Drosophila melanogaster: one gene and its partners. The protein of the gene in region 1 interacts with the protein of each later gene in a pairwise test. Each region holds a gene or a part of one and is shown in the gene's direction. Other genes may lie near its edges.

Evidence for each region. The genes of interacting proteins can lie anywhere in the genome.
Region 2: the proteins of Sry-alpha (region 1) and CG5708 interact in a two-hybrid assay, tested with the Drosophila melanogaster proteins (one large-scale study listed by BioGRID).
Region 3: the proteins of Sry-alpha (region 1) and CG15482 interact in a two-hybrid assay, tested with the Drosophila melanogaster proteins (one large-scale study listed by BioGRID).

Annotation. Positions count from the first base shown.
Region 1 is NT_033777.3:30,036,317-30,045,473, forward strand, and holds Sry-alpha (serendipity alpha), read left to right. Parts: upstream 1-3,402; 5' UTR 3,403-3,496; coding exon of another isoform or gene 3,497-3,569; intron 3,570-3,622; coding exon of another isoform or gene 3,623-4,620; 5' UTR 4,621-4,945; coding exon 4,946-6,538; 3' UTR 6,539-6,755; downstream 6,756-9,157. Other genes in the region: ZIPIC (Zinc-finger protein interacting with CP190), read right to left, coding at 1-485; ocn (ocnus), read right to left, coding at 774-884, 940-1,064, 1,119-1,329; janB (janus B), read right to left, coding at 1,724-1,813, 1,875-1,999, 2,057-2,212, 2,271-2,322; janA (janus A), read right to left, coding at 2,547-2,639, 2,746-2,870, 2,929-3,118; Sry-beta (serendipity beta), read left to right, coding at 3,497-3,569, 3,623-4,620; Sry-delta (serendipity delta), read left to right, coding at 7,163-8,464; RpL32 (ribosomal protein L32), read right to left, coding at 8,997-9,157. UniProt on the Drosophila melanogaster protein: Required for the cellularization of the syncytial blastoderm embryo. Involved in the localization of the actin filaments just prior to and during plasma membrane invagination.
Region 2 is NT_033779.5:10,222,101-10,228,339, reverse strand, and holds CG5708 (uncharacterized protein), read left to right. Parts: upstream 1-1,531; 5' UTR 1,532-1,675; intron 1,676-2,374; 5' UTR 2,375-2,466; intron 2,467-2,528; 5' UTR 2,529-2,589; coding exon 2,590-2,836; intron 2,837-2,907; coding exon 2,908-3,061; intron 3,062-3,190; coding exon 3,191-3,382; intron 3,383-3,447; coding exon 3,448-3,580; 3' UTR 3,581-3,883; downstream 3,884-6,239. Other genes in the region: ova (ovaries absent), read left to right, coding at 1-479; Bcs1 chaperone, read right to left, coding at 3,899-5,194; Prosalpha6 (proteasome alpha6 subunit), read right to left, coding at 5,932-6,138, 6,197-6,239.
Region 3 is NT_033779.5:13,208,417-13,213,682, reverse strand, and holds CG15482 (uncharacterized protein), read left to right. Parts: upstream 1-1,868; 5' UTR 1,869-1,901; coding exon 1,902-2,831; 3' UTR 2,832-2,910; downstream 2,911-5,266. Other genes in the region: kek4 (kekkon 4), read left to right, coding at 1-674, 740-1,026; Pect (phosphoethanolamine cytidylyltransferase), read right to left, coding at 3,455-3,772, 3,838-4,023, 4,084-4,247, 4,906-5,018, 5,196-5,262.

The DNA of each region.
Region 1 (9,157 bases):
TGGAACTCATCCTCCTCCTCTGATTGTTTGATAATGAAGGTGTGCTCCTCTTCGGCCACTTCCTCCACGATGCCGGCGGGACCGACCAGGGTGACGGTGGTGCCCACGCTCTCCAGTTCCTGCTCCTCCTCGTCCTGTTGCTGTGCCTCCTCAATATTCCCATCGAATTTGCTTATGGTGGTCTCTCGGTCGAGATCGTCCTCTTTGTAGGAGGTCTGCTTGTGGTCCTTGGACATGTAGGGACTGTGGATCAGTTCCAGGATCTCCCCTCGCAGCTTGCGCGCTATTTGTATGGACTTGTGGTATCTGGCGAGCTTCTCGCAGCACTTCTTGCAGATCGTCGACGATTCCTCCGTGAGGACGTAATTCGTGCCCCGGGTGCACTGCAGTACCAGTTCGCTGATCAGCACCGGCGGATGTCCGACGGTATCGGTGTGAATGTCCTTCGGTACGCGTACCGAGAATTGACAAATGCAGCAATTCATATTTGATTGAAATTTATTTACACTTTCGGGGCAGTGTGACCGTGCCCTGAAGAAGGCTCCGATTGCACAGCTATCGGTTATCGACGATGTGATCTGGTTCAATTTCCAAATTTGAACTTTGGCTGCTAACCAACAAAGCAGATCTGAAACTCAAAATCAAAAGCTGAAAATTTGTAACACCCAGCGAAAAAACAAATCGATATGTAGCCATGTATTTACTAATTTTTTGTTGTATTATAAATTGCCAACAGGGCAGTTAGGAAAAATAAAACAAGCTTTCAAACGCCTTCACTGATACGCGTTCAGATTCTTTTTGGGCAAGATGATGTTGTAATGCTGGAATTTGGTCCAAGACAGCAGTATGTCCTTCGTCCTGCCGTGCGGCGCCTCCCCAAAAGTCTGCAGGCAGTCTCTTTAGTAATCAGGTTGATCGTAGCCAACTTCATCCACTTACCTTGCAGCACCCGTAAATTTTCATTACTTTCTTGTCCTCCTTGTTGCTGATGAACCCTCCACCCAGGCATTTGGCGCAAATTCCAATTTTGTCCATCTCCTTTTGGATTTCCTCAAAGATTTCCTCTGGCGACAGAACGATTAGAACACGTATTAGCTATACTGATTATTAGAACTAACCGTGGTCCTTGGAGGCGGATCCTCTTACAATGGTCCTGCCGAACCTAGTTAAACCGTGCATGTGAATCATCATCAAAAGGTACTTGTTCTTGCCTTTAGAAAGCTGAACTCTAGGAACATTTATCAAAAGGGCGTTTACGCGCGAAGAACTTTGCCTTCGAAGGGGCTTCAACAATTGTGAAACAGGTGCCAAAAGATTCAAGGTTTTCATTTTGGAAAAATTTTAGGAAAACGCACTGGAATTTAGATGAAATATTCCGAAAAGAAACTGGTATGAACGGTAGCAAGGCTCCAGCTAGACTGATTTTGTCAGAAGCCTTCCGGTCGTATGCTAAATTCAAGACTGACACGAAAATCGGAGCACATGTGATCATTCAAAAAGTACTAAGCCCTTGTATCTTGTGAAAGAAATTTTTGTATGAACTAAACTATAAATGCAAAATTACTCTTCTTTCTACTCTCTCCAGAAATGGAAATATCAACCATATTCCGCCAATTACAATCGCCTGTTCGATTACCCCTTAATAATATTGAAAGAGCGCTACTTTTATATTCTATTTTCTTTTTATTAGTACTGAATTTCCATTTTCGAAATTTATGCAACTTTATTGTTTAACGGTTATCTTAAAGTCCTTATAAGTGGTCCACGCTTGAAGTATATTCCTTGTCCTTGTGTGATCAGCACCGCCGAAAGTCTAGGGAGACCCATCAAGAACCATTAGCCGGTGCTTCAAGGACCAAGGATCCTCTACTTACCCTGGAGGTGCCATAGATCTTAATTTTTTTATTTTCTGCCTCGTTGAGAATCCTTCCACCACCGAGGATTTTGGCACATATGCCCTCGGGTTCCAGCTCCTCCAAAATCGAGTCGAAGACCGCCACTGAAAGAAGGATTTGTAAGACTGCTCAAGGTTAAGCGTCCAGCAGTGGAAACTCACAGTGATTGTCAACATCGGCGCCACGGACAATAACTCTTCCATACTTCGTGAAGCCATGCGTATGAATATTCACCAACAAATAACGATTCTGACCCTTGGTTATCTTGACCCGGGGAACGCCTACCAAACTTATCAAATCGGTTGAGTAACATTTTTCTAAAACCAAGTATATTAGGGCTTGTAAATCTTAATATTGAATATTCCTAAGCCTTACGAAACGGAGAAACAATATGAGGAAGCAGACGCAATGACTTGAACATTTTCATTTTATTTAACCAAAGGAAAAGAAACGAAATTTGTGTACAAACTGATTAATTTAGATCCGAAAAGGTTTAGTGCGAGCAGTTGCAAAGCTACAGACTAACTGCCTTTCAGAGCATTTCTCAATTTTAAATGCCATTTCCAATAAAATCATGGCACACAGGATCAAAGCCAATGGTATAAATTCATGTCAGTGTGCTTATGTGGAGTCTTCTCTCGTTGATTGCAGCTAATATCCCTCATCGGAGATTTCGATCGTGTAGTCCGGGTATTTGGTGGCCAGGATGCGTTTGGTCTGCGCGTGATCAGCTTTTCCAAAGCCCTTAAATAGAAAGACTTGATTAGAACTCCAGAAAATTTTTCAAGTAGTTAGATACATCAGTCCATCCACTGCCCAGCGACCCCTTTACTCAAGGGAATAGACCCACCTGCGAGTATCCGTAGACCTTCAAGTACTTCTTCTCGGGATTGTGTTCAATGCGACCGCCGCCAGGACACTCGGCCCGCAGCCCCAGTTTTTTAAAGACCTCCTCCTCGCGCTCGAAGATGTCGGCTGTGGGACAGTAACCAAGCTAAGTGGGCACTTGATGGGTGATGAGGATCCGACTTACCATGCCATGTGCAGTCCGCAAATCCGCGGATCACCGCCTTTGAAGCATCTCCTCCATCGAAGACATTGATCATGACATACTTGAAGATGCCCTCTGGACTGATGTGCACCAGTGGCACGCCGGCAAGTGCTTCCTCGGACATTTTGTGAATCAGTCGTAGTCCTTTGGAAAGCAGTTGGAGGCGATTCATTGTGGAAAAGTGTTTGAAAACAGAATTTAATGTCTTACCAACCGGCAAATTTTCCAAAAACGCTGCTTTAGTCCAGCAATGTGACCAGATACTTTTATTCTCGTTCACCTTATGTATCGATACTATTAAAATTATAATATTCAGTTATTTCTTTAGTACATTTGGGAAAACGTTTTTTGTACTACTCAGTATATTTTAGTAATAATTAATAAACTCAAAAAGAAAACGTTGTTATCAGTGACAGCAAATTTATCGATTACGCCGACAGCACGCAGTCGATACTATCGGCACTATCGGCACAGCTCTGGCGTTCACAACAAAATATACACAAATTAAATTGTTTAAGCCGAATTTTCGATTGGATTCCACGGCGACTAGATGAGCTCCACGCGTCCGTTTTGCTTCGTTTGCGGCAAGGAGAAGTCCGTGGGGGTGTTCCAGCTGATAGAAGGTAACGTTCGCTTACGCCGCACTCGAAAGTCCTGATAGCCGACTTTTTCACAGGCTGCATTGTGCCAGGAACCTTTAAGCCCATCAAGGATATACTGAAATACTTCGAGAAGATCATAAACCAGCGGCTGGAGCTCCTGCCCAACTCGGCCGCCTGCCGGGACTGCCTGGAGTACCTCTTCAACTACGACAGGCTGGTGAGGAATCTCAGCCAAGTGCAGCGCCAGATTGCGGACGCACTGCTCGGCTGCAGGCAGGTGGAGGGCAAGGCGGAGACCAAGCAACAGGCGGCAAAGAGGGCCCGCGTCCAGGTGCCGGCCTTCAAGATCGTCCAGGCCACCGCCCTCAAGGAGCCCGAAAGGCAGCCGGGCGAGGAGGATGAGTGCGAGGAATTCATGAAGGAGGAGATGCTGGACGAGGAGTTCCAGTTCAGCGAGCCGGACGACAGCATGCCGTCGTCGGAGGAGGAGTTCTTCACCGAGACCACCGAGATACCCTGCCATATCTGCGGCGAGATGTTTTCCAGCCAGGAGGTGCTCGAGCGGCACATCAAGGCGGACACCTGCCAGAAGAGCGAGCAGGCCACCTGCAACGTGTGTGGCTTGAAAGTGAAGGACGACGAGGTACTCGATCTGCATATGAACTTGCACGAGGGCAAAACAGAACTTGAATGCCGCTACTGCGACAAAAAGTTCTCGCACAAGCGGAACGTCCTGCGCCACATGGAGGTGCACTGGGACAAGAAGAAGTACCAGTGCGACAAGTGCGGCGAACGCTTCTCGCTCTCCTGGCTGATGTACAACCATCTGATGCGCCACGACGCCGAGGAGAACGCCCTGATCTGCGAGGTGTGCCACCAGCAGTTCAAGACCAAGCGCACCTACAAGCACCACTTGCGCACCCACCAGACGGACCGGCCGCGCTACCCCTGCCCCGACTGCGAGAAATCGTTCGTGGACAAGTACACCCTGAAGGTGCACAAGCGGGTCCACCAGCCGGTCGAGAAGCCAGAGTCGGCGGAGGCCAAGGAAGCCACCGTCACGTTCTTTTAGGGTAGTCCTTTGCTAGATTAATCTAAGAAGCCCAGCTCATGGGTGCATTAGCGCGCGTATGTATCATAAAATTAAATCTAAACAATTATTGACGGAAAGTACCAGTTCTTTGCCGTTCTTCGCCCATTTTCCAGGAACCCCAGTAGGTAAAGTAGCGGATTTCGCGAATTTTCGCGGGTATGGCAATAAAACAGGCAGATGTTTTTTAATCCCCAAAATAGGTCCTTTCTACCTGTGCGCTTGGCAAAGTATATAAAGGTGTTGCGTCGTCCGCCAGAACTTAGTTGAACATTTCTGTTTCCCGGAGCACATCTGATAGAACAGCATGGAACAGCTATTGGCCCAATTACACACTTGCAGTGAGCTGATTGCAGAGGGCTACAGCAGCACCGGCAACATTGGCTGGCTGAACGAGTTCTGCGCCACTTTCCTGGACTTCGCCAGCGATCTGAAGGCTAGGCTGCCGGAGGTGGCGCCCAGTGGCGCAAACCTTGATGTGGAGACCATCTTCCTGTGCCTCACCCAGGTGGTAACCTGCATCACCCACCTAGAGCGGACCATCAGCATGGAGGCACCGCATATGACCAGGCAGCACTTCCTCGACCGCTTGGACTGGTGCTTGCGGCGACTGCTCGTCTCCTTGACGCAACTGGAAGGCAACGTGACCCCAGTCAAGAACCTAGAGGATCACTCCTTCGTTGAGCTCATGGACCTGGCTCTGGACCACTTGGATGACTACATGGAGAAGCTGGCCCAGCAGAGAAACAACTCGCTGCACATTCTAGAAGAGAGCTTCACGGAAGACACCTACCAGCTGGCCAGCATAGTTAATCACATCGTTCGCCACGCCCTGGCCTTTGCCAATGTGGCCATTCATTCGGACAAGAAGGCTTTGACGGCTTTGTGCGAGACCTTGCTCGCCGAATGTGCCACTTTCCACGAGGAGGCGGGCGAGCCCAACAGTGGTCATCGGAAGCTGGAGGCCCTCTCCCTGGAACGTGCCCTCTATGCCCTGGAATCCTTTCTCAATGAGGCGCTGCTGCACTTGCTGTTCGTCAGTCTGATAGATCTGGAAAACGCTTCGGTGGAGAAGCTAAAGGATGCACTGCAAAGGGATCCTGCGGGAGCTCAGGAGCTAATCTCCGCATTCGACACGAACATGGATCGCATTCAGCAGATTGGGGTTCTGGCCATAGCCTTCTCGCAGGACATCAAAACGAAGACGATTGTCAGGAGCTGCCTGGCCTCACTGGAATCCCTGGATGCGTGCATTGTGCCCGCTCTCCAGCTGCCAGAGTCCACTTCATCCGCACACCACGCGGAGGTCTTGCAGGAGCATTTTAACCAGGAGCTGCTGATCTTTAGGAACGTCATCCACGAAATCATCGATAGCTGCTCCCTGATCAACAACTACCTGGACATGCTGGGCGAGAGGATCCACGTACAGGACAAAAGCCATCTGAAGCTGATTGTCCAGAGGGGCGGAGTGGTGGTGGATCACTTTCGGCTGCCCGTCAATTACTCGGGACTCAGTGAAGATGGCAAGCGGGTGCACAAGGACCTCATTCTGATCCTGCGCGAGTGCCAGGCCGTGGTCAACCTGGACGTCCCAGTGGATCCCAAGCGCATCGTGAAGCGCCTTAAGATACTGTACTCCGTGCTGGCCAAGCTGAGGGACTTGATATGCAGGGATAATCTGGAGCCCGATTCCTCAGTTGCTTCCGAAGCTCAAGTGCCCTCAAGTGCAACCCGAACTTTTGTGCGGAGCAGTCGATCCTTTGGCAAACGGCATCGATCCTTTGTAAAACAAACCGGAAATTGCTCAGTTTTCGGGCCACAGGACTCACTTGCTGAATCCGGACACAGCGAAAGCGATCTTATTAGTTTCCAAATCACTGAGATTCTTAGGTTAGATTGAGTGGGGCGAGCCATATTCTAAATACGCGGGCTTATCTGTATGAGATTTTTTTTAATACTTCATTGGCTTGAAGTGCTTAATTAAGATTAAACATATCCTTACAAAGATTCTAATTAGCTACCTAAGTCAATTGTGTTCTTTACACTTATGTAATTACTTCATTAAGTTGAAGCCATTCGCATAATTTATATAAAATACAATTAAAACATACCATTATAAAAAAATTATATAATTCAATTCAATTTTTTCAGGGAATCAATAAATTAAATGCTACTCGTTTTCATAACTAAAGAAACCAACACCACCATAATAATCAACAACAAATTATGTATTTATGCAAATTGAATATCCGTTTGCAATATTGAGCAAACACATATTTTTATTATTCAACTCATATATTTCAGTTTTCACACCCTGTTCCATTCCCACCGTTCCGTTCCTGGCATCAATCGGCATCGTTCGCCAGCCCTGGTGGGCATTATGCCATGGTTGCATTTCACGCATTTTAGTATAGCTTCCGATATTCATCATTTTGCCAACTCTATTAAATTTCATACACAATTTAAAAGATTGTAAACAAACGCCGCACGAAACGGAATCGCTAAAAGGACCATCGTCGGCGCAATGGATACTTGCTTCTTCTGCGGCGCCGTCGATCTGAGCGACACGGGCTCCTCCAGCTCCATGCGCTACGAGACGCTGTCGGCCAAGGTGCCGTCGTCGCAGAAAACAGTGTCCCTGGTGCTCACCCACCTGGCCAACTGCATCCAGACGCAGCTGGACCTGAAGCCCGGCGCCCGGCTGTGCCCGCGCTGCTTTCAGGAGCTCTCCGACTACGACACGATCATGGTGAACCTGATGACCACCCAGAAGAGGCTGACGACCCAGCTAAAGGGCGCTCTAAAGTCCGAGTTCGAGGTGCCGGAGTCCGGCGAGGACATACTCGTGGAGGAGGTGGAGATACCCCAAAGCGATGTCGAGACAGACGCCGATGCCGAGGCGGACGCCCTGTTCGTGGAGCTGGTCAAGGATCAGGAGGAGTCCGACACGGAGATAAAGAGAGAGTTCGTGGACGAGGAGGAGGAGGAGGACGACGACGACGACGACGAGTTCATCTGCGAGGACGTGGATGTGGGCGACTCCGAGGCCCTGTATGGCAAGTCCTCCGATGGCGAGGACAGGCCGACGAAGAAGCGCGTCAAGCAGGAGTGCACTACCTGCGGCAAGGTGTACAACTCCTGGTATCAACTGCAGAAGCACATCAGCGAGGAGCACTCCAAGCAGCCCAACCACATCTGCCCCATCTGCGGGGTGATCCGGCGCGACGAGGAGTACTTGGAGCTGCACATGAATCTGCACGAGGGCAAGACGGAAAAGCAATGCCGCTACTGCCCCAAGAGCTTCTCGCGCCCGGTGAACACCCTGCGCCACATGCGCATGCACTGGGACAAGAAGAAGTACCAGTGCGAGAAGTGCGGCCTGAGGTTCTCCCAGGACAACCTACTCTACAACCACCGGCTGCGCCACGAGGCTGAGGAGAACCCCATCATATGCAGCATCTGCAATGTGTCGTTCAAGTCGCGCAAGACCTTCAACCATCACACGCTCATTCACAAGGAGAACCGCCCAAGACACTACTGCTCCGTCTGCCCCAAGTCCTTCACCGAGCGCTACACCCTCAAGATGCACATGAAGACCCACGAGGGCGACGTCGTTTACGGGGTTCGCGAGGAGGCGCCCGCCGACGAGCAGCAGGTGGTGGAGGAGCTGCATGTGGACGTCGACGAATCGGAGGCGGCCGTCACCGTCATCATGTCCGACAACGATGAGAACAGCGGCTTCTGTCTCATTTGCAATACCAACTTCGAGAACAAGAAGGAGCTCGAACACCACTTGCAATTTGATCACGACGTGGTCTTGAAATAAGCTACATTGCCTACAATAAGTAATTGTTTATCTTTCCCTAGTGTATTTCCTCCTCTTTGTACTTGATTATTGTAGATTCCTACAAAATATAATTTACTGGTATTTCAATTACTGCGTTTCATTTAGACAGAAGCATTTCCGATAATAATTGTACACTGTTCTGTAAAAATAATTGCGAATATATATATGATTTCATATAAACAACCTCTTTCAATACTAAGGGGGAAAAATGTAAAATATATAACAAAATTCCCTGATAAGGATTGATGCTGTCTAGTTTTGGCACGTCAAGGAATTTATATTGGTCTAATATCTCGAGGCAGTTGCTATCAGAAAGAAAGACCGCAATGGTCTGGATTAACTGATATCCATCCAGATAATGCACATGTTATCAATGGTGCTGCTATCCCAATCTCAGAAATGACAATTGAACTCGGCACTCGCACATCATTTTTTAACTAAAAGTCCGGTATATTAACGTTTACAAATGTGTATTCCGACCACGTTACAAGAACTCTCAAGAATCTTAAGCTTACTCGTTCTCTTGAGAACGCAGGCGACCGTTGGGGTTGGTGAGGCGGACCGACAGCTGCTTGGCGCGCTCGACAATCTCCTTGCGCTTCTTGGAGGAGACGCCGTGGGCGATCTCGCCGCAGTAAACGCGGTTCTGCATGAGCAGGACCTCCAGCTCGC
Region 2 (6,239 bases), on another chromosome or scaffold:
GCTCGCCCAAAAGACTTGGCTCGGATGCACTGACTGTAATAAAACTTACACATAACAACAGAAATTTGTACAGTAGCCGCGTCGTCGAGCCAAGTAAATGTGCTCCAGAGCCAGAATCAGTAATAGTTGATAATTCGGTTAAGCCCCTACAGCAATCTTTATATATTTATTCAAACTATAAGGCTAATTCAGTAATTAGTCGCTGTACCGTAGACTCGATAGCCAATCATTCACTGGTTGGTTCCCTGAGTACATCGAATACTTTTGCTGATTCTGAGGGACACAGAAAGGAATACAATCAGGAAAACTGCAATTTTTCTAAGAACTTGGTCGCACTCACAGACTGGTACGCTCATTCGGCTAATTCGAAAAAAAGCACTACAAATCAGACTACTGAGAGTAGTACGTTTGATGCGATTTCCGCGGCTCCGCCTTTCAATGGCACTGGGCGTATAATTTCCATTGATTTAACTTCTTAGACATTTTAATCCATAGTTAAGTTAAGAAATTGTTATTTTACAAGAAAACCTAAACTAAGAATTACCATATATGAATAAATAATTTGTTTAAATACTTTTATATATAATGTCTAAATTCATTTTCTCTGCGTTTTAAAGAAAAGACATACTGTAGAGGAACCCTACTGTTTTGGGATCTCTATTACCACGTATAGATGGTAATCAGCATATTTTCCATCCGTTTTCTTCATAGTTCGAAGCGTTAATCGATGATCTGGTTGTTTGAAAGCATCGACATAAAGTACACGTAAATAGTACATGACCTTCAAAAGCTTATTTTTTTTGGTTATGAGTCACATCATAATTTTATTACGTCATTAAAGAAAGAGAGGGGACGTCAGGGTTAATACAAAGTAGCATTAATCCCATGATTGATACTTGAACCAGTCTTTTCGGTATGTACCTCAACCCAACGTGGGCTTGGCCCTTTGTAGAGTTAACCATCACCCCGCCTATTTTAGGCGATTCAGCTGTACGCGTCAGCTGCTTTTGGTTTGGCATATCTAGTTTTATATCGCATTTTCCATTCATTCCGATGGGATGAAGAATTTGATATAATTTAGACCATCCCAGATGTTTCTTTCCCACACTGTTCCACTCGATGCATTCTCACTGAAAACGTCTTTCAAAGAATACCACAGTAGTCCAATTTATGTAAGCCAAAACATATGAAAGACAACATTTTAAATGTTTATTTTATCATCATATGAAATTTCTCGGTCGCAAACGAAAATATAAATGTTTTCCACCGGAATAGAAAAATATCGGTGATCACAGCGATTATCCATATATAAAATGAATAAAATGGATGGATAAATGTCTTATAAATTTGGTATTCTTTTAACTTAAATACATAGGTAAATATAAAAATTTATTTTATTGCTTATCTTATTCAACCTCAATATAAATAGAAAAAAGCCAAGACATCATCACTGACTGCGATATTATACAGCCAAATAACTGAATTGACCGATTAAAATGTGGAAGTGTACACGGTGCACCCTGTATAATCGCGGATTGCTTGCTTTCATATCTATGAATTAGTTTGGTATGTAAAGTCGTATACAAGAAATGGTGTTTGAAACCAAAGCGATTTTACTGTTCCTCATGGTGTTGTCAAAGAAATTTTCGCTTTTAAATAATTAATTGATGAGTGTGTAAGTGAATATTGTGTTTATTGTTTACAAAAACCCCGTTTAGTCGAGTGATTAAGTGAAACAAATACCAGCATATATATGTACACAAAATTTCGCTCAAATGTGCCACTGACAGCAAATCAGTATTTCTGTACATAAACGTCAAGTTTGCCAGTTTGAAGTTTTAGTTCGCCGTAATGAACAGTGCAAATTACAAACATTAAATATTGATTAATCTATCGGCGTAAGACCGCAGTTTGATACACACATATATGTACGTACATTGCAAGCGTTCGCTGCGAGTGTGTGTATGTATGTATGGTCATTTGGGTGTTTTACTTATGTACATATGTACGTACGTGCGTATATAATCAATTTGTATGTAATGACAGCTGTGCAGAATGCAATGATTCAAAAATAATTTCAAATTGGATCGCTTTCGAAAATCCAAAAGTCATTTATTTTGCTGATTGCCTGTCGCTATTTTTGCATCCGCAATCGGCGAGAAATGGCGTGAATAGCACGTTCTGTCATCGATTGATAAAATAAATATTTTATTACCTTCTAGTGAAAATTCTGGATGGTAGTTTGAATTTTTTTTCAAAATCGGCGTAATTGTACTAAAAGAGATGCATTTATATTTTTCCTTACTAAGCTTAACATTTATCTGTAAGCCCACTGCTCCTTAAAAAATAATTGATTATTTTAAACCTATTTTAGATATTTTATGTGGTTTATGCGTTGAGTTTATGGTAGAAACACGGCAATTATGGAGTTCCACGACTAGGCTTCATTTTTGCACATGTTAAAAGGTGATTTTATTAATATATTTAACACATTTCCCTCTATCAATACATGTTTCTGTACTTTTCAGGTTTAAACCATAAACAGGACCCATATGCCTTCTACGACTTAAGTCATCAACATTATTTGCAATGAATGCAACGTTCCATTCATACAGAGACATACTAGCGGCACATCACCAAGACTCATCTAGTCCTGAGAACTTCGCCCCCATAGTAATTGACTATAGAAACTCAAACCACACAAAGGACACTGTGGAGACCAACTCGAATATCTCATCGTCTCAGCTATCGTTCATGGACGAATCTTCAAACGATTTCAATAATCAGCAGTTAATTCATTCCAACTCCCTTATTAAAGTGTGTGGTGGTTGTGGAGGTAAGTTCCTTGAATCGATTCATCTATGAGCTACAATAACTTAACTCACGTTTTCTCTGTTTCGCTTGCAGATAAAATAAGTGATAGATATCTTTTATACGCTTTGGACAGATACTGGCACAATGGCTGCCTTAAATGTCACTGCTGTGGAGCTATGCTAGCAGAAGTGGGTTCCAGCTGTTTTACGAGGCGAGGCCTGATTCTTTGCAAAAAGGACTATTCCAGGTACGCACGCATTCGACTGAAAAGATTATTTCAGCTTCCTTAAAAACATGTTGCCTACTTAATGGCGTCAACCATTTAGATACTCTTTAGATTATGTTCCTTGTGTTCAAGTTCACATTTATTTTCCAGCATGTTCGGGTGCTCCGGAGTTTGTTCTGGCTGCGGAGAAACTATACCGCCAAGTGAACTGGTAGCGAAAGCACTTACTGGAATAAATAATATCGATTTACAAAATCAACAAAAACAAATAATTAATTGCGTATTTCATCTAAGGTGCTTTAGTTGTGCTAAGTGTGGATCCAGTCTGCGTCCTGGTGATAGGTATGCCTAACAACACACTGCAGTGAAGAGCGAATTTGAAATGGAATTGCTTTTTCTTTTTGCAGGTATACTATGTTAGGAGCTAGCTTGGTGTGTGAACAAGATTGGCACAAATTACTTAAGGGCCCCGCCAACTCGAATGGAACGCTTGGACAAAGGAAAGGAAAGGTCGGTAGGCCCAGAAGATCAAAGGACTAATCAAACTTAATGTCACATAAAATATACATATATTTTAGAACATAGTTCATATTTTTAAATTACCTATAAAAATGTAATTAAATCATAATATAAAACAAGACCTTCATTTAGGTGAGTTCGATTGGGAATTACACGTGCAACTATGCATAAAAACGAATGGATAATCTTAAATCATTGAAAAATGAAATAAATTCGAAAACAATGACATAAACTAATATCGAATGACAGTAAAATTGATAGATGTTTTAATTAATTAAGACCCAAAAGGGACATCAGTCTTGTCTTAAAGAGCTTCAAGTAAACAAAATCCACAACAATTCAATTAATCTTTTTATTATGATCTAAAACATTTTCCCAGATATCTTCACAAGAATCAATAACAGTTTGCGGCGAGGACAGTTTGTGCTTCATGAAAAAGCCTTGAATTTGCGCCGGACTAGCGGAGCGTCCAAAGGAATTCACTCGTTTTCCGAACTCCTCGGCTTTTGTGGTGTCACTGCTGGCGAAGAAGTTCTTGAACATCTCCTCCAACTGATATTGCGTACAATAGCCAATGTATTCCTTTAAATCGATTCTACCAGGACGAACTAAGGCGGGATCGAGGCGGTCAATGTAGTTTGTTGTCATGAAGACAATTCTGGCCTCCGTGGAGCCCACACCGTCCAAGCAATTTAGGAGTCCACTGAACGTTATCCTGTTGAGACCGTCAAAGGCGGATTTCTGCTGCGGAGTAGCTTCGCGCGAGACGAATGCTGCGTCGATGTCCTCCAGCAGAATGATACTCTGCTCTGGCGCAACATTCAGGAGATGATTGAGTCGATCATCGGTGAGGCCTCTTTCGGATAGGTTTAGCAGGCAGACACTGTACTCCAGTTCGCCCGCCAGGGCGGTTATAAAGCTAGACTTGCCACAACCAGGTGGCCCGTACAGAAGGTAGCCTCTTCGGTAGGGGATTCCACGTTGCGTATACCACAGAGAGCTCTTAATGAAGTCCTGGCAGTCGGCAATGATTCGCTGCGAAGTTCCGCGATCCAGCACCACCGATCCAGTGGGACGCCTTCTGCGCGGATGTCCGAAGGGTCTCCATTCCGCACCCATCGCTGTGTACAGCACGGTTTTGCCCTCTGTGGCCTCCAGAGCCAGCTGCCTAGCCTCTTCGAGGATATCGAAATATATACCTTTATTGTTACCAAACGCTGTAAGCGTCACTGTCTCCCAAGGAACACCCATGTGAAGGTCCAATGTCTGTTGTTCCCTGGTCCGCTCCACCTGAATCCAATTGCCCTTGTACTGGAACAGATGCTTGCCTATGCTGGGTATGAAGTCATAGCTGGTTTTGATTGTGCCATTGTCGTTCTGCACAAAGTTTGTCTCCACGCTCAAGTGTTGCGTTTTTCGCGCTCCTCTGATCGTAATCCATTTTAACAGCCACTGATAGGATTTGTCCCGACACGGCACCTCCAGGGTAATCATGCAGTGCCGCCGGAACAGTATCACTCCGCCCTGGAGGCCCTTGCGCAATATGGCAGCAGCGGCGCCCACACCAAATAGTCCAAAACCGGCACCAAAGTAGGGATTTGACGAAAGTCCAGCTACAAGATCGGGCAAAGTCATCTTGTCTGCAAAAACCGAGAACAAGGATCAACGTTTAATTAAAGTGTTTTACTCTTTTTCGGCAATAAAACCCTATAAAACAACACCTGTTGCTTAATCTATCATCCAAAACATGGGTTCCTCCTGTAAACAATGGTACATCTTTTCGAAGCAACTTTTTAAACAAATAAAACTGAAGTCTAACATATACTGTTTACGTGCGCTTCAGCAAAGGCACCAACAATTTTATTTTCTCATGAGAAAACCATGTAATTTTATTATTTAAATCAACCATTTGCCATCACTCTCGTTATGTAATTAATTGTAATTTAGGTGTGAGCAAATAAATATACAAGTTGCCGCTGAAGTGGCACATTTTATTTGGCATAAAAACCATCTTAGAGGATAACTTGTCATTCACTAAAAGCAATCAACATTTTTTTATAGTAGAAATGTTTCAATACCGGCATTGATAAATATTTTTAATCCAACAGTGTGACCGAACTGTGAAATCGGAAAAATGCAAATAAGTTGGGAAAACTTATATCGAAAAACCAATATTTAATAAATACTATAAATAAATAATAAATGAAGGTTTAAAATTAAAATCAAAAAATTTTACCCATAACATTGATTTTTTGTATTCATTTATTCAGTTTGTTCCGTTTTAGGATCTATGCAAATGCATGAACAATTTTATTGTATCCTTGAATCTTACATTTTTAATGGTTAAGATGCTTTCATAGCCCTATAAATGCCTATGGACGCTGCTCGGTTGCAACCAGGACTTCTGGGTCGCGTGGTCCGGCTGCTGGTTCCTCTGGGGGGGATGGGCGATCATCGTCATCGTCGTTCCTGGGCGTATCATTGTCATTCTCTTTGGCAATCGCCACATGCTTGGCGCTGTCTTTATTAGAGAGAATTGTGAATGGCTGGTCTTTGCCGACGATGGCCACAGTGATGTCCTGCAAGAAAAACACAATTTACTAACTATTCGCGACGGGAAATGTGCAATGAACTTACATACTGACCGGCATCTTTGCCTTGCTCATCCGTAGGCAGGGTA
Region 3 (5,266 bases), on another chromosome or scaffold:
AAAGCAGCGCATCTACATAGAACTGTTGCGTGAGGATGAATCAAAGATTCGAAAATTCGGACATGATGTTTTTGTGTCACGTCTAACGATAGTTAATGCCCGTAAGAGCGATGAGGGCGTCTATACCTGTCTGGCGGAAAATCCCGGTGGCAAGGATTCGGTTCACATAAGTGTGGTGGTGCAAAAGGATATGGAAAGGATTTCCCTCATCGACAGCAACTTCTTTGCAATAGTCTGCCTTATAGCCATGGGTTTTCTCAGCATGTCGATTCTATTTTCGTTGGTAACATGCCTAATATTTAAGAGATTCAAGCAGTTCCATCCCGGCCAGCACACTTATTTGCAACCCACTAGTTTGCCCGTTCAGTCACCTGGCAGTGAAGAAGCCACCGCCATCAGCGCCCTAAGTTCTGGAGTTATAAGGGAAAGTAAAATAGTGCTGGATCCATTAAGTGCTATCAATGAACCATCAAATAAAAATTACACTTTATTTAAAACATCCAATTCGAATGGCAGCGAGTATATGCACACGAGAAATTATAAAGACGTGAGATTAAACAGCAACACATATACTGAAAATCTAGACAATCAGGCGGAATCCATTTCATCGCGGAATCGGGAGCTCTATTCAAATATAGCTGGTGACCGGGAAAAGGAAGAGCTCAAACAGAAAGGCAATAAAATGCCAAATAAAATTAGTGCTCAAATTTTAACTTATTCTTGTTTTTCTCCTACTTAGATGAGCTCGATAAGGATTCCCGGCAGAGTTCCTTGCAATCAACAGGCTGCTCAAGAAAGAAGGGACAAATCGATGAACTCCAACCGGACCTTTTGCCTTCCACTCAACCTACTGCCTTAAAAAATATTAATGAAACTTTCGGTCCATCAGCGAAAAAAGCAGAAGTTAATCCCCGAAGCAAGTACAATACCAATGTGCAAAAGTACCTAAAGGAGAAGTACGGCAGTGTTAGAATAAAGAATATCAGTACTAAAGAACCCATTACTGGTGTTGATATCTCAATATAATATATTAATGTTTTATAATATGGCATTTCCCACCATACACAGCTGCGAATCCACCGTAAACCCCATGCCATTGAAATTTTAGTCTTTGCCAGGATTTCAATTCATATCCAGCCCTACCTCTCTAAGACCTCCAGGAGATAGATGGACAAAGGAGATCCAGTCAAGAAGAAATATACCTCGCCTTATTTCTGGTAGTAAATTATGTATTTTAAAACGTTACTAATATATAAAAATATTTATTTACACAGTTCTAAGTGTTTTAACCCACGCACTTTAAGTGAAAGGAATGTAATAATAAAGTTTTAAGTGATGCCTTTAAATGAAAAATGTGTAGCTTACTTGAATTAATCTTATATTATCATCGAATTCTAAAAAGCATTTTTAGTAAATCGTTTGATTTTATTTACCTGACCCACTTTTACCGTACTCTACGTTCTATCATCCCTGACCTACCCCGAATTCATTCTTGTGTGTGCTACAATTCCCAACTGCTTCTGGCCGTTTGCTCATGGAGACCCTTTTCGTTTTCCGTTTCAAGTTATCGCTTCTCGGCCTTATGGCTAAGATCAAAGTGTAGTATCTGTTCTTATCAGCTTAACATCTGATAGTTCCTCCATTGGAGGACAACAAATGTTAAACTGATTTTTGGAATCAGACGGAGTGCTAGGGGCTTGCTCCACCTCTGTCGCGGGTTGGCCCGGTATTGCAGTACCGCCGGGATTTCGGCCCAACTGAATAATAAATATTTAACTATTATAAAATCAAAAGGATCTACTTGTCAACACAGTAGACTTTCAAAAGTTGCTAGTATCTGTCTATCTGTCTAGTTTCTTATCAAAATTATGTCGTTTTGGCAAGCCTGATTACCTACCACAATGACTGCGCCATTTACCTCGCGTACCAACCAGGCCGCCGATTCCGGCAAAGATCAATCTCCCATCCATGGATTGAGCCGGAATCGAAAGCGTCAGGAGAGGCGAAAGCAGCGCCTGCAGGAAATGCAAGATTTGCTGTACACGAAACACTTTTCCAACTACAGACTGCCGGCATCGGTGGCCGCGCCAGCTCCCGAGGATCAGCTGCTCCTCAAACTGCAGAACTTCGAATCGCTGACCGAGCAGCCGTCCAGCAGCAGGAAGAGCACTGCGACCACATCTAGCGATTCGCCGTGGAGCCGACTGCGCCTGGTGGCATGCCCATGTCACGGATGCCTATGCTCGGTTGACCCCAGCGCTCTGTTGGGTCACTATTTGAGTGACCATCTGCCGGGAATGGGAGTTCCGTTTTATGAACTGGAAATGGGCAAGCGAGTGTCACTAACATGTCATATTAGTAGCCTGGAAAGAGATGTCAACACCCTGCTGGGGGTCTATGGCTATCGGCGCACTGGCCTTAATCCTCTGAAATGTCACCGAAACACCCATCTGCCAGTGGAGTACCGCCGCTTCTCGCAGCATAGCGCCCTTATGATCTTCGCCTGCCGCACCATGCACTCGGTGCTGTGGGAAAGGAAGCGTGTCAAACACGAAGTCCTGGCCATCTGGGTGGCTACTCCTTTGCACGGCGTGGCCATCACTCTGCGCCTGCTGGTCCAACCTGCCAACCTGCCACGTTACTACACCAGACAGATAAAAGCTCGTCCAATGCTGCCACTGTCGTCGAACCAATCCTGCAGTGAGTTCATCAAGACCGACAGCAACGTGATCCTCATCAGCTTGAATGACCTCCGGCCACTAATGGATTTAGATGTTTGGCAGCAATCGCTAACCGTCGAACTGAAAGTGATTAGCGAGGCAAGTATATAAAACTTCCGGTTTTTTTTTTTTTTGGAATTCGCAATATTTTTGGCCATGTATTTAAGTCTAAGATTAAACAAGGAAACATAAAACTTGAACTCGCACTTACTATATGCATTAATAAATTAGGACAAAGTATCAGAGATTACATTTGATAAAAGCAGCTACTTCCTGATCCAGGCATCCTACTTCCGTTGCTGAATATATATACATACAAGTCGTACAAGGCTTTTCAATTCGGCAACAGTTTGGATAACATGCTATTCGTACAATTTTGTTGTTCCTCACACTTACATCGTACTTTAAAGGGAATTTACAAATTTTGAGCTTACATACATAAAATTTAGATTTTAAATATTCTACGTTAATGTGTTAGAAATATATAATTATGTGTATAACCTTATATCATTAAGGCGCATGTGCAGATATTCTAAAATTGTACTAGAAATCGAGAGAGCGGTGCGCTGAATCCTCAGGCAGCGTCGCTTCGCTTTTTACGCAACAAAAAATTAAAGCGCCATCATCAGGGGACGACATACTAAACAAGACAAACTAAATAAAACAAACTAAAAGAACGCAACTAGAAAATAAAAAACATCCGTCTAGTGTGAGAGGTCGGAATCTGGTTCCGGCTAGCCGGCCTTTTGGGTCTGTTTTTGGCGTTGAAGTGCCTCAAAGGCTTCGATTTCCTTCTTTTCTTTGGCCTGATTGCGACGCTCATATTCCAGTCGGTGCGAGATGATGCGCTCCACGATGCGCTCCGTGGTCATCTCGTTGCCGGAATCGATCAGCTCAAAGATGGCTCGCGTCTTGGGAACGGCATATGGATCGATCTTGCCATTCTCAAGCGCAATGGGTGTGCGTCCATGACAGACAACATCGATTTTGAAGTGCTCAAGCAGCTCTTCAGTGACACAGTAGGGAGCTCCGATTACTACCTCATTGACAAACTGGGGGAAAAAAGAAGTTTTAAAATGAGATAATATTTAAAAAAAAGAATCTATTGCAATCCTACCTTGCAGGCCAAAACACTGAGCACGCGCTCGTGCAGATTCATAATGGGATAGTTGCTGCCCTTGTAGGAGTTCACCACGGGATCTGTGTGCAGGCCAACAATCAGATAGTCACCCAGTTTCTTAGCCTTTTCCAGAAAGTCCAGGTGACCCACATGGAAGAGATCGAAGGCGCCAGCCACATAAACCTGCAAATACCGACAATTATGAATTATACATTATATACATATAATGAGGGCTAAACTTACAATCTTATCGCCGGGATTCGGTGACTTTCCATCACTGAACTGTATGATCTTTTGGGTAGTCGGCAAGAACTGACTACAACCGGTCCACGGACTTTTGGCTGCCGAATCTTGACCCATGTTCGAAGAACCTGGATGGGATTTTATTTGTCGTTTTAAAATTGACACTTTTTTTGTTTGTTTTGTATTGTAAAGCAACGCAGACAAATGAGCAAAAGTGTGTATTTAAGAGCAAAAATTTACGTTTAGGATTTGATTTCGATTTGGATTCGGATTTGGATATTTTGATTGCAGGTTGGTCATTGGGCATTCGGCATTTGGATTCATTTCGCGGGCGCGCACACGCACAAAACATTTAGCATAGTTTTCATAGGTTTCATACATTATATTATATTTTTGATAGTGGTTAACAGTGCGTACATAGAAATAAAAAGAAGAGAAATAGTAAAGTTGTAGAGGGCAACCATAAACCAAGGCGTTATTTGCGTTCAACTATGGCAAATTAAAAAGAATCTATTGGGGAAAATGCATAAACTAATCGTGCGTAGCCCATGTATAAACTGAATATATCTGTATAATATTGTTCATACTTGTAACTGATTGATCGACTTTGATTTATGCACAGCATGCAAGAGCAATAAACAAGTTCGACAGCAGGAAATGAAAGACAAAAAGAGTGCAAACAAAAAGTAGTCTTAAAATTAAAGTTAGTAATGGTTAGAAACAATGAATTTGGCGCACAAATTCACAGTGCTCGCTGTGATTTAGGAACATTAAAATGAAAATAAAATGTGCCAGAAAAGCGTTGGAACAAGCTAAAGCTACCTTCTTTCTCGATATCATATTCCGCGGATCCTTGACGGAAGTGGTTGCGTGTCAGGAGCAACATGCGGCCCACAAGGTCAGTGGTCGAGACTCCAGCTGTGCGTTTCACTTCCCTGCGGATTGCATAAGAAAATTTAAGGTCAGTAATTGGAAAAATGTGCAGTACGTGCTTTACAAGACAACTGGCAGCTTATTAAAGGTTAAGGCAAGATGTACATAAGGTAAGTGTGTGTGCATTCCCTTTTTAATAAACTGCCACATGTCTTAAAAATATATCTTTTCAAACTCACTTGTAGCGATTGGCTGATTTGACCAAATGATATGTGTCCACTCCTTCGGCTGTCATTGTAATGTCATCTGC